Danio rerio: one gene and its partner. The protein of the gene in region 2 interacts with the protein of the main gene of each other region in a biochemical or structural test. Links are inferred from orthologs where the notes say so. Each region holds a gene or a part of one and is shown on either strand. Other genes may lie near its edges. The genes, in order: slbp and dcaf11.

Region 1 (4,439 bases), on a different chromosome or scaffold from region 2:
ACAATTTAATCTGCTGGTCCCAGGAGCGTCTGCTGTACTTCTTGAACTTGTTTGGAGTCTTTGGATGAACACCTGGTTGTCTCAAATGCCTGAAAGAGGAGTTATATTTTAAGGTTCTGATGCTGTACAAAAAATAATTGCAGAAAAAAGATCTGGGTAGCATGACACATTCGTTAAAAAAAAAAAAAAAGCATGGTTTAACTCACTTTGGAACTTCTTTAATGTATCTGTCGTACGCAAGAGTATTTTTCCCGTAATTTATCTGCTTCTGTCTTCTGATGAGGGTGGTCTCATCGGTCTCGATGTCACCTTTAGCAGGCGACTCTTTCGAATCCCTAGAGTCTCTGGAGTCTGAACTGGGAGAACAAGAAAAGCTTGATTACAACTCAAGTCAAAATTGCTGTAAAACTTACTTCTAGATTGAACTTTTATTTGCTATTATACGCTTAAACAGGTAGACCCACCCCAAATTCACACATTGGGTTGTCCAAATTGAGGTGAACAAAATGCTCAAACAATAAGAATAGTGTTTTGATAGCACCACATTTATTACAATTGTTATTACTTGTATATTATGCTGGGACAGTAGTAGTGTTCATTTAATCATGTTTTCTAAGCCTGTGTCCCTTGTCTGATGTATTATATCTTAAAAGCATTTAGTGTTTTTGTTTTCTCAACTAGCCCTACATTAAATTAACATCTTTCCAACTATCCCTGAAGCATCATGTCTAGAACAGTTTTCTGTGCGACTTCACACAGCAACAGCAACGCATGCAGCATGACATCAATAGCATCTCTGAAGCAAAAATGGTTAAAAGCAGGCAAAGTCCTGGATCGGTTTCTTTGCTCTTCTTTTATTTTTATTTATTATAGAAGTATCGGATCGGTTTTCGTTAATCGCCAGATACTTAAAATTAAGTAACTCAAAAAACCTGATCGGGCCATCGCTACTGATTTATAATAAATGAACACTAGTCACACATTGAAAACTAATAAAAATGTTTCTTCCAAAGATAAAACTTTAAACTCAGTAAGTTATTTATTTTTGGATTAGAATCCTTTCAATGAAATATATTGTAACGTTTTTAAATTGATTTCACAGTTAGTGCTGGGGTCTCAGATTTAAAGGGAAAAGTTTGTTAGCTAATATTTTGCAGAAACAAACAAAAAAATGGTTTGACGTGGACAAATAAGAGCACCTTTTAGGGGAATAAGTCTAAATGCGACCCTGATTAAAACACAAACCTTCCAGATGAGATTTTTCTGTCTCTTTGAGGGAAATCACTCGCAAGAATCCTCCTTCTGTAACTGAAAAATAATAAATAAAATGAAGGATTTATCAGTGCCATGTACACCTGTATATTTGCAACATAAAATACTGTAATTGTTGTTAATGTAAAATTTACTTTGGCAAGAATTTTTTTTTTAATTCAAGAGAGGCAACTGACCGATGAAAATCACGCCGGACATTTGTGCGCATTTCCTGTTCCTCCACCTCATCGCCCCAGTTTTTTATTCTGGACACTGGTCCTTCACTCTCTGGGGTTGTAAAACTGCACAAAAAAAGACACAATTGTTCAGTAATAAGAAAATAAACCGACTATCATTTGTATCTCAGTTTAAAATGTAATGAAATTCATCAAAGAGGTCAGATTTGATGCATCTAATAAATCAAAATGTCAACCACAACCTAACAAAACTACTCCAGTTGACTCTCTTGAGAAATTGGTATGTTGTAAAGTCAATGCAAAATGTTACCTTTCTGATCTCTTCGAACATCTTTGATCTTTGCCTGGCTCTTCATCAGCATGAGACTTCCTCAGAATACCATCTGCTCCACGTTTCCTACACTGTGACCACCTTGAAGCTCCTTTGTTCCTTTAACACAAAATATATATACATTTGAAAAAAAAAAAGTGAAAAAGTGAATGTTGCACATAACATGAACACGAAATGCTAAAGCAATAAACACATGGATATAATTAATAAACATTTGGTGGAGATACAACTATTTAAAAATCTAGAATCGCAGAGTTACAAAAAAAATTTATCACAGAACTGATAAAATGCACATTTAAAGTTGTTTATACAGAGCTTAGCAAAGCATATTACGAATCAAAATTTGGGTTAATACATTTTCAGTAAGAAATGCAATTTACAACACAAGTCATCATCACTTGTTAATATTCCAAATATGCTTATGTATAATTACAAACAAATCTACTTCGTTACACACTTAACGTTAAAGGAGATGGCGACGGAAAACCGCGACTTCCTAATAACTAACAGTTAACGTACACAATGAGCTAAATCACTACTCGAAGAAACCTTTGTTTCCATGGCGCCACAAAATAACCTGCAGTCAACACACAACTCACTGCAAATAATAAAAACAACAACTTTTAGTAAAACTAAAATAAGTAATGCTGATTTAGGGAATCCAGAGGTAATGCTCGTATGGCGCCAACTCTCATTTACACTCTGAACACAACACAGAAGACTGGCGGGAGATCTTCACACCTCATTCATTATCTGCATAAAAGAGTCGAGATTTTGCAAGAACTAATGACCTAAAATAGTAGAAGAAGTTACAAATGAAAGTAAAAAGAATGTTTTATAGTCCAAAAACAGACAAAATAGTGAAGTACAGCAGGAACACAATACTTTGTTGTCTTGCTATGCTAGCAAACATCGGAGCCACAAAGCCAAAAAACACGAAAAGACAAAAACAACTGCACACACCACTAAATATAGTTTAAAATTCTTACCTGTCTTCACTAGATTTGTAATCGTTTTCGTATTTGTATTTTTGTTGTTCAGACATTGCTTCGAGAGGGTGTAAAATTGAACCTGCACGTACGATCAGCTGCCGGGTTTGGATTAAACCGCGCCAATGTCCTGCAGTGTACGTCAACATCGATGTCACATGACACTTAAGGGGCGGTGTTAGTGACGTATCTCACAACTTGATCCACCCACATACGCCGATCCACAAATCATGTGTACCCGTTCGTTAAAATCTGCAAAGACCTTAGAATCAGGTGATTCTAAGCTCTTTGAGGTCGGTCTATGGTTTATAGATCACATGTCGAGTTTAGCGCGTAACTTCTTTTTCCGTTTTAGAACGCCGTGGCGGGAATACAAACAGACGAAAGACCTGGGTCCACAAAAATAATTTTTTCATGTATTAAGAAATAAAGAGAAAAAGTAAGTCATGTAAGGAAGCCCCAAGAGGCCATGGATTAAAATATTTTTTCTCTCTTGTTTTTTCGTGATGACTTAATTATCTCGTGATCTCGACATAAAACGTTATGACAAACATGTCGTAATCACGTTTTTTTTGTTTGCTTTTATATATTTATTATTATTATTATTATTATTATTATTATTACTATTATTATCTGACCAATGTCTGACCAGTGAGTCTGCACCGGCCTTGTGATCAGGGAGAAAATAGCCTAACTGCTCGGGCTCACAATAATTTAGTCGTGGTCACGACAAAACAAGAGAGAAAAATATTAATGCATAGCCTTTTAATACTTCCGAGGTAATTTCCCGTCGTCGATGTGTTTCGGTTTAATGTGGCAAAAACACCAGTAATTTTTCTTTCTTTCAAACAAGAAAAATACCATTACCGTTTGTTTAAACCTTAATTCCCTTCGGATTTTAAGAAAAATGAATCACCTTAAAGGGACAGTTCAACCAGTCACGTTGTGTGATGTATGTGCTAATTTTAGGAACTTAATAAATGTTATACAACCTGTAAGTGCAACATATTCAAAAATAACAGGGGCTACTGAATACATCAGTGAAACGTTTTTTTCCCATTTAACGTGACTCGCCATTTAATTGCTCAAACTCGATTCGAGTTTTTTCAGTTAAACATAAAAGAAAACATTTGAGAAAATGCTGGTTGCCGCGACCCATTGACTCCCATTTTTTCTACAATTGAAGTCAATGCATCCCAGCAACCAGCATTCTTCAGAAGAGAGAAATTCAAAGGACTCAAACACACGCACACAAGGAAGAAGGAGCTCATTTTCACATTTGAGTGAACCAGCTTTTTAAAATGGACCCTATAAACCTATATGTCAATACAAATAAATGTGAATATTAGATCATTATTTGAGTGCATTAAGATAAGCAACGCATTATTCCTTAAAACTTTTAAACTCATACAAAACCAATTATTCTGTCAGTTTACTCATCCTTTATTTGGAATTTATCAGGATAACAGGATTTATCAATATAATTCAAGACTCTTGTGTAAATAAAACTTTATCTTAATTATTTATTTATCATCCATCATCTCCCATTCATGGTTTACTTTCCAACTATTATGCGTTACACACTCCTATCCAGTAGGAGGCAGAAATGTACCATTTAAAAAAAAACACGGAGACCCACTGAACTAAAGGTCTTACAGCTACAGCAATATA
Region 2 (4,579 bases):
GTTCATTACAATGTGGCAACCCCTGATAAATCAGGAACTAAAGCAAAGGAAAGTGAGCAAGTGAGTCTCTTGTTAATTTTTAACTTTTAGTATAAATGTATGCAGTTCAAACCATTGCGTAGAACTGTATTTATTATTGAATGCATATAAAGACAAAAACATAATTGATTTAGTAAACCAGTATAATTAAAAAGATATGATTTTTTTCTCCTGGCTGTACCAAAAACGCATCTAAGCATAATGTTTGCATATTACTACACCCTGTGTTTTATCATACCATGTTAATAAAATAAAGTAAAATAAAATAAATAATGCATAATAATTTCTAAACACTGCACTGTAACTTGGGGTGTCAACTAAGTAAAAAAGCATAAATTAATCATGCACACAGTTCATTATTTACCTGGAGGGTCATATCGATGACCTAACCTCCCATCCCAAGCCCCATCACTGTCCTCATCAGAGTCTGAATATGACTGCACAAGCTGTAGGCCTGTTGCTCCACTTCCATGGACCAGACGTACCTGGCCCCTAGAGTAGACAAAAAGGTAAAACAATTTGCATTACCCATGTGGAGGAAATGCAAAGCAGGTTTACAATATGTTCCAGGATGTTTTACAGTATCTCCACTATCTCATAGGTTCAGAAGGTTATAGATTTACCTTCGCAGTAAGTACGCCAGAACTTGTGCTAAGTCAACGTCCTCTTCAGATCCTGACTGTCTCTCAGCCTGTGTACGACCCGTCTGATTGGCGTTCTGGTTGGCTTCTGGTTCTGACTGGTCTGGGTTGTTGCCAGAGCCCCGACCGGACATCCCAGAACTGGACTGAGAGCCCATAGACTGATTGTCTGCCAAATCATTGATTTATTCCACAGCAATACAGGCAATTACACTCAAGATGAAAAAGCAAGATATTCTATAAAAGAGTTTCTTCAAGTTTCACCAAGTTAAATGTAAGATTTTTAAGACATTTTTAAGACCGTTATGAGTTAAATTTTAAATTCATAAAGAGCCAAAAGCTTAGGATTTTTTTTATTGCCCAGGAAAAGATTTTTATTTGCCCTATCACTAATATATATTTTAAATAATTTAATAAATTTAATAATACAATAATAAAAAAATAAATTGTTTTATATATTTCTTAACAAGGCGAGGCAGTGGCGCAGAAGGTAGTGCTGTCGCCTCACAGCAAGCAGGTCGCTGGTTCGAACCTCAGCTTCATTAATTCATTTTCTTGTCGGCTTAGTCCCTTTATTAATCCGGGGTCGCCACAGCGGAATGAACCACCAACTTATCCAGCAGATTTTTACGCAGCGGATGCCCTTCCAGCCGCAACCCATCACTGGGAAACTTCCACACACACATTCACACACACACACACTCATACACTACGGACAATTTAGCTTACCCAATTCACCTGTACCTCATGTCTTTGGACTGTGGCGGGAAACCGGAGCACCCGGAGGAAATCCACGCAAACGCAGGGAGAACATGCAAACTCCACACAAAAACGCCAGCTGAGCCGAGGATCGAACCAGCGACCCAGTGACCTTCTTGCTGTGAGACAACAGCACTACCTACCGCGCCACTGCGTCATCTCACTGTCTTTTAAATAACTGTAAATGATATTATGTGCTTAAATAGTAAGAGTTCCAATCATCTGTGTCTTTCAACAATTACAATAGACCAGTAGCTTCCAGCAACAGTCCTGGGCAGCATTTGGTGATAAAATAATTGTGCTGCTTAATATATTCGGAGAAACTGTGACATTGTTTTTAGTCAGGCCATTTTAAAACTGCAAAAGAGCAGGAATTAATTTGAAATACTGTAATTTTACTTTTAATTATTTTAATTAATAAATTAATATTAAAAACATGTTGCCAAGTGAACTTTGATATGGTAGTGTATATGTACACAGTACACTTAAGTGAGTGCCAAAAAAGTTCAACCATTTACAAAACAGGACTTTAGAGAAGCTTTCTTATATATATATATATATATATATATATATATATATATATATATATATATATATATATATATATATATATATATATATATTTGCTAATAGCCATTTTCGTTTCATCCCAGAAATAATTTAGATATTACATAAGAATGAAGTTACATTAAGATATTTCATAAATTTCTATTGTAAATTAATAAAAACTGAATTTTTGATTAGTAATATACATTGATGAGCAATTAATTTAGACTTTGAATGTGATCTTCTTCTAATTTAACTCTCAGATTTTCAAATAGTTGATCCTGAGGATCCTAACAAAGTAAACATTAATGGAAACTTAAATATTATGATTCTGATGACTGACACTTCAGACGATTGCAAAATCGACACTGTTTTGACGGTTTTGTGGTCCAGGGTCACATAAAATAAATGATATATTGCAAACAGTGTTATTTTCCGCTTAAATATGTATTTGTCTGTTCAAAAACATATGTTTGATTAATGCAAAATGAATACCACCAAACTAACATTGATGTAGTTTATCAATTGAAAGGTAGGCCTAAGTCAGTTTTTAACATCATATTGTTTAATTGACTTCATTGAATTATGACATTTAATAAGCGATTAAAAATCAGGACAGTAATTGTTGACAATAGACTGTGATGTAACTTGACAGGTGAGCATGCTAAATTGACAGGCTAAAACTGCAAATGACATATTGCGAACATTTCATATAACGGTTTTATATTTACAGACCAGTAGTTTAAAAAAGAAAGATATAAGATTGTCTACGTATTACATCAAAACAGCACTTAAAACAGCTCATTCTTTAGAAGTTAGCGCTCACGCTAGCACTGTAAGCGACCTACAAAAGAGAGGCACTCACCAGTTAAATGGTAACAGCGCTTTGACAGCTCTTTTACCCGTTGGTTTGTTCCTGCAGACCTCGTTAAAAAAACAGAAAATAGTGTTTGCAAAAACTAAGTTTATATACCTGTACGTTCAATAAGCTTAGCGCCGCTGCTTCCCTGAGTTGTTTTTAAGACTCTCCTGGTTCGTGACGCGCCATGTTGTTTACGGTCTCGAGACTCGCCTGCTCACGTGACACACCGACGCTTTCCCACAGAACAAACACAAAGAGAGAGAATTTTTTTATATAAAGCCTTAATCAATAAGAAAAAAGATTATCATAAGCTTTAAGAAATTCATTATTCTTCTTATTATTAATAAACTTAAGAGATTCAATATTTTACGAAATTATATATTAAATTACTAAATTTAAGTATTAAATATAGTTATTGTTTTTAGGAACTTATTTTTGAGTATAAAAAATTTACAGTGTAACACAAAAAAAATTTACAATAAGATCGAGAGCATGATCATTACCTGAGAAATACAGAAATATATCTTCTATAGACAAATTTAAATCATGGGAATTTGTAGAATATACATAATGCAAGATCTTAAAATGTATCTCTCTTATTTTGTTGGATATGCTGAATTTTTCAGGTAATAACCATGCTCTCTTCAGTCAGAATATATATAATATATTCTGTATATAATATATCAGAATATATATATATATATATATATATATATATATATATATATATATATATATATATATATATATATATATATATAAACAAATGTGGATGCAAATAACCAAATGTGGATGCATTTTTTACAGATAATATTTATTACAGATGTTTAGATGAAACAGCTAAAAACTATATATTTTAGTTCAGAGAACCTACATTACAATCTAGATATAGCTCGATAAATGTGCTACATTTATATACATATTTATAGATAGCTTCCAGTGTATAAAACAGTGTTTTCTTTGTTCTTCATGTATTGTGACTATGAGGTGGTTTGATGCTTGAGGCCCCAATTCCCAAACCCCAAATCACTCATACAATAGTATAGAGATCAGTGAAATTAATCCATTTTGGTTGCACTGAGTTGAGTTGATTTCATTGGTTTGGTGGAGTTGCGCTTAAAGCCAATTCATTCATAGCCCTATTTGCTCATTTGCCAGCCTGTAAAATACTGTAAACAAATTTGACAATTTATAGTTGTCGCAACAATGTTTTCTGTTTATGTACACTTTCAAATTGCTTTATGAGACCTGGTGCTCTGCTCTGACAACATTAATTTTAAAAAATGAACTCTGCAGTTAAACAAAGAGATTTTATTGGAAATTGTAGAAGTGGATAATTTAATCATTTATAGACATCTGAAATGTAAAAAATCATCACAATATAACTTTAATAATGACCTAATTTTCAAAATTAAAAAGATAATTTTAAAATTGATCAAGATAATACAGTGTCAGGGATCACCATAGAGACATTAATAAATGACATTTTTGATATTATGACAAATTATATTCAGATGAAATGACAGTATAAAAAGTGTTGAGTAAAAATAATAAGATTTTGTCATATAAAAAAGAAAAAATATATATACCCCATTTTACCCATTGAACATAAAGTAGCTACAATGCATTTCAGAAATATCCTGTCTTAAATACACCATGTAAAAGAAAATGATAATTAAGAATTAGTTTAAAGATAATCAATTAATGACAAAACATTAAATGATAAACATCA

What was found.
Region 1: the proteins of dcaf11 (region 2) and slbp form a complex in vitro, tested with the Homo sapiens proteins (2 studies listed by BioGRID, with this or other methods). The link is inferred for Danio rerio from reciprocal best matches to the Homo sapiens genes DCAF11 and SLBP.

What each region holds. Positions count from the first base shown.
Region 1 is NC_133189.1:17,118,882-17,123,320, reverse strand, and holds the start of slbp (histone RNA hairpin-binding protein), read right to left. Parts: upstream 2,913-4,439; 5' UTR 2,825-2,912; coding exon 2,769-2,824; intron 1,879-2,768; coding exon 1,759-1,878; intron 1,554-1,758; coding exon 1,449-1,553; intron 1,309-1,448; coding exon 1,246-1,308; coding exon of another isoform or gene 1,242-1,245; intron 357-1,241; coding exon 207-356; intron 90-206; coding exon 1-89. UniProt on the Homo sapiens protein: RNA-binding protein involved in the histone pre-mRNA processing.
Region 2 is NC_133199.1:14,443,211-14,447,789, forward strand, and holds the start of dcaf11 (DDB1- and CUL4-associated factor 11), read right to left. Parts: upstream 3,062-4,579; 5' UTR 2,851-3,061; intron 850-2,850; 5' UTR 839-849; coding exon 663-838; intron 532-662; coding exon 404-531; intron 1-403. UniProt on the Homo sapiens protein: May function as a substrate receptor for CUL4-DDB1 E3 ubiquitin-protein ligase complex.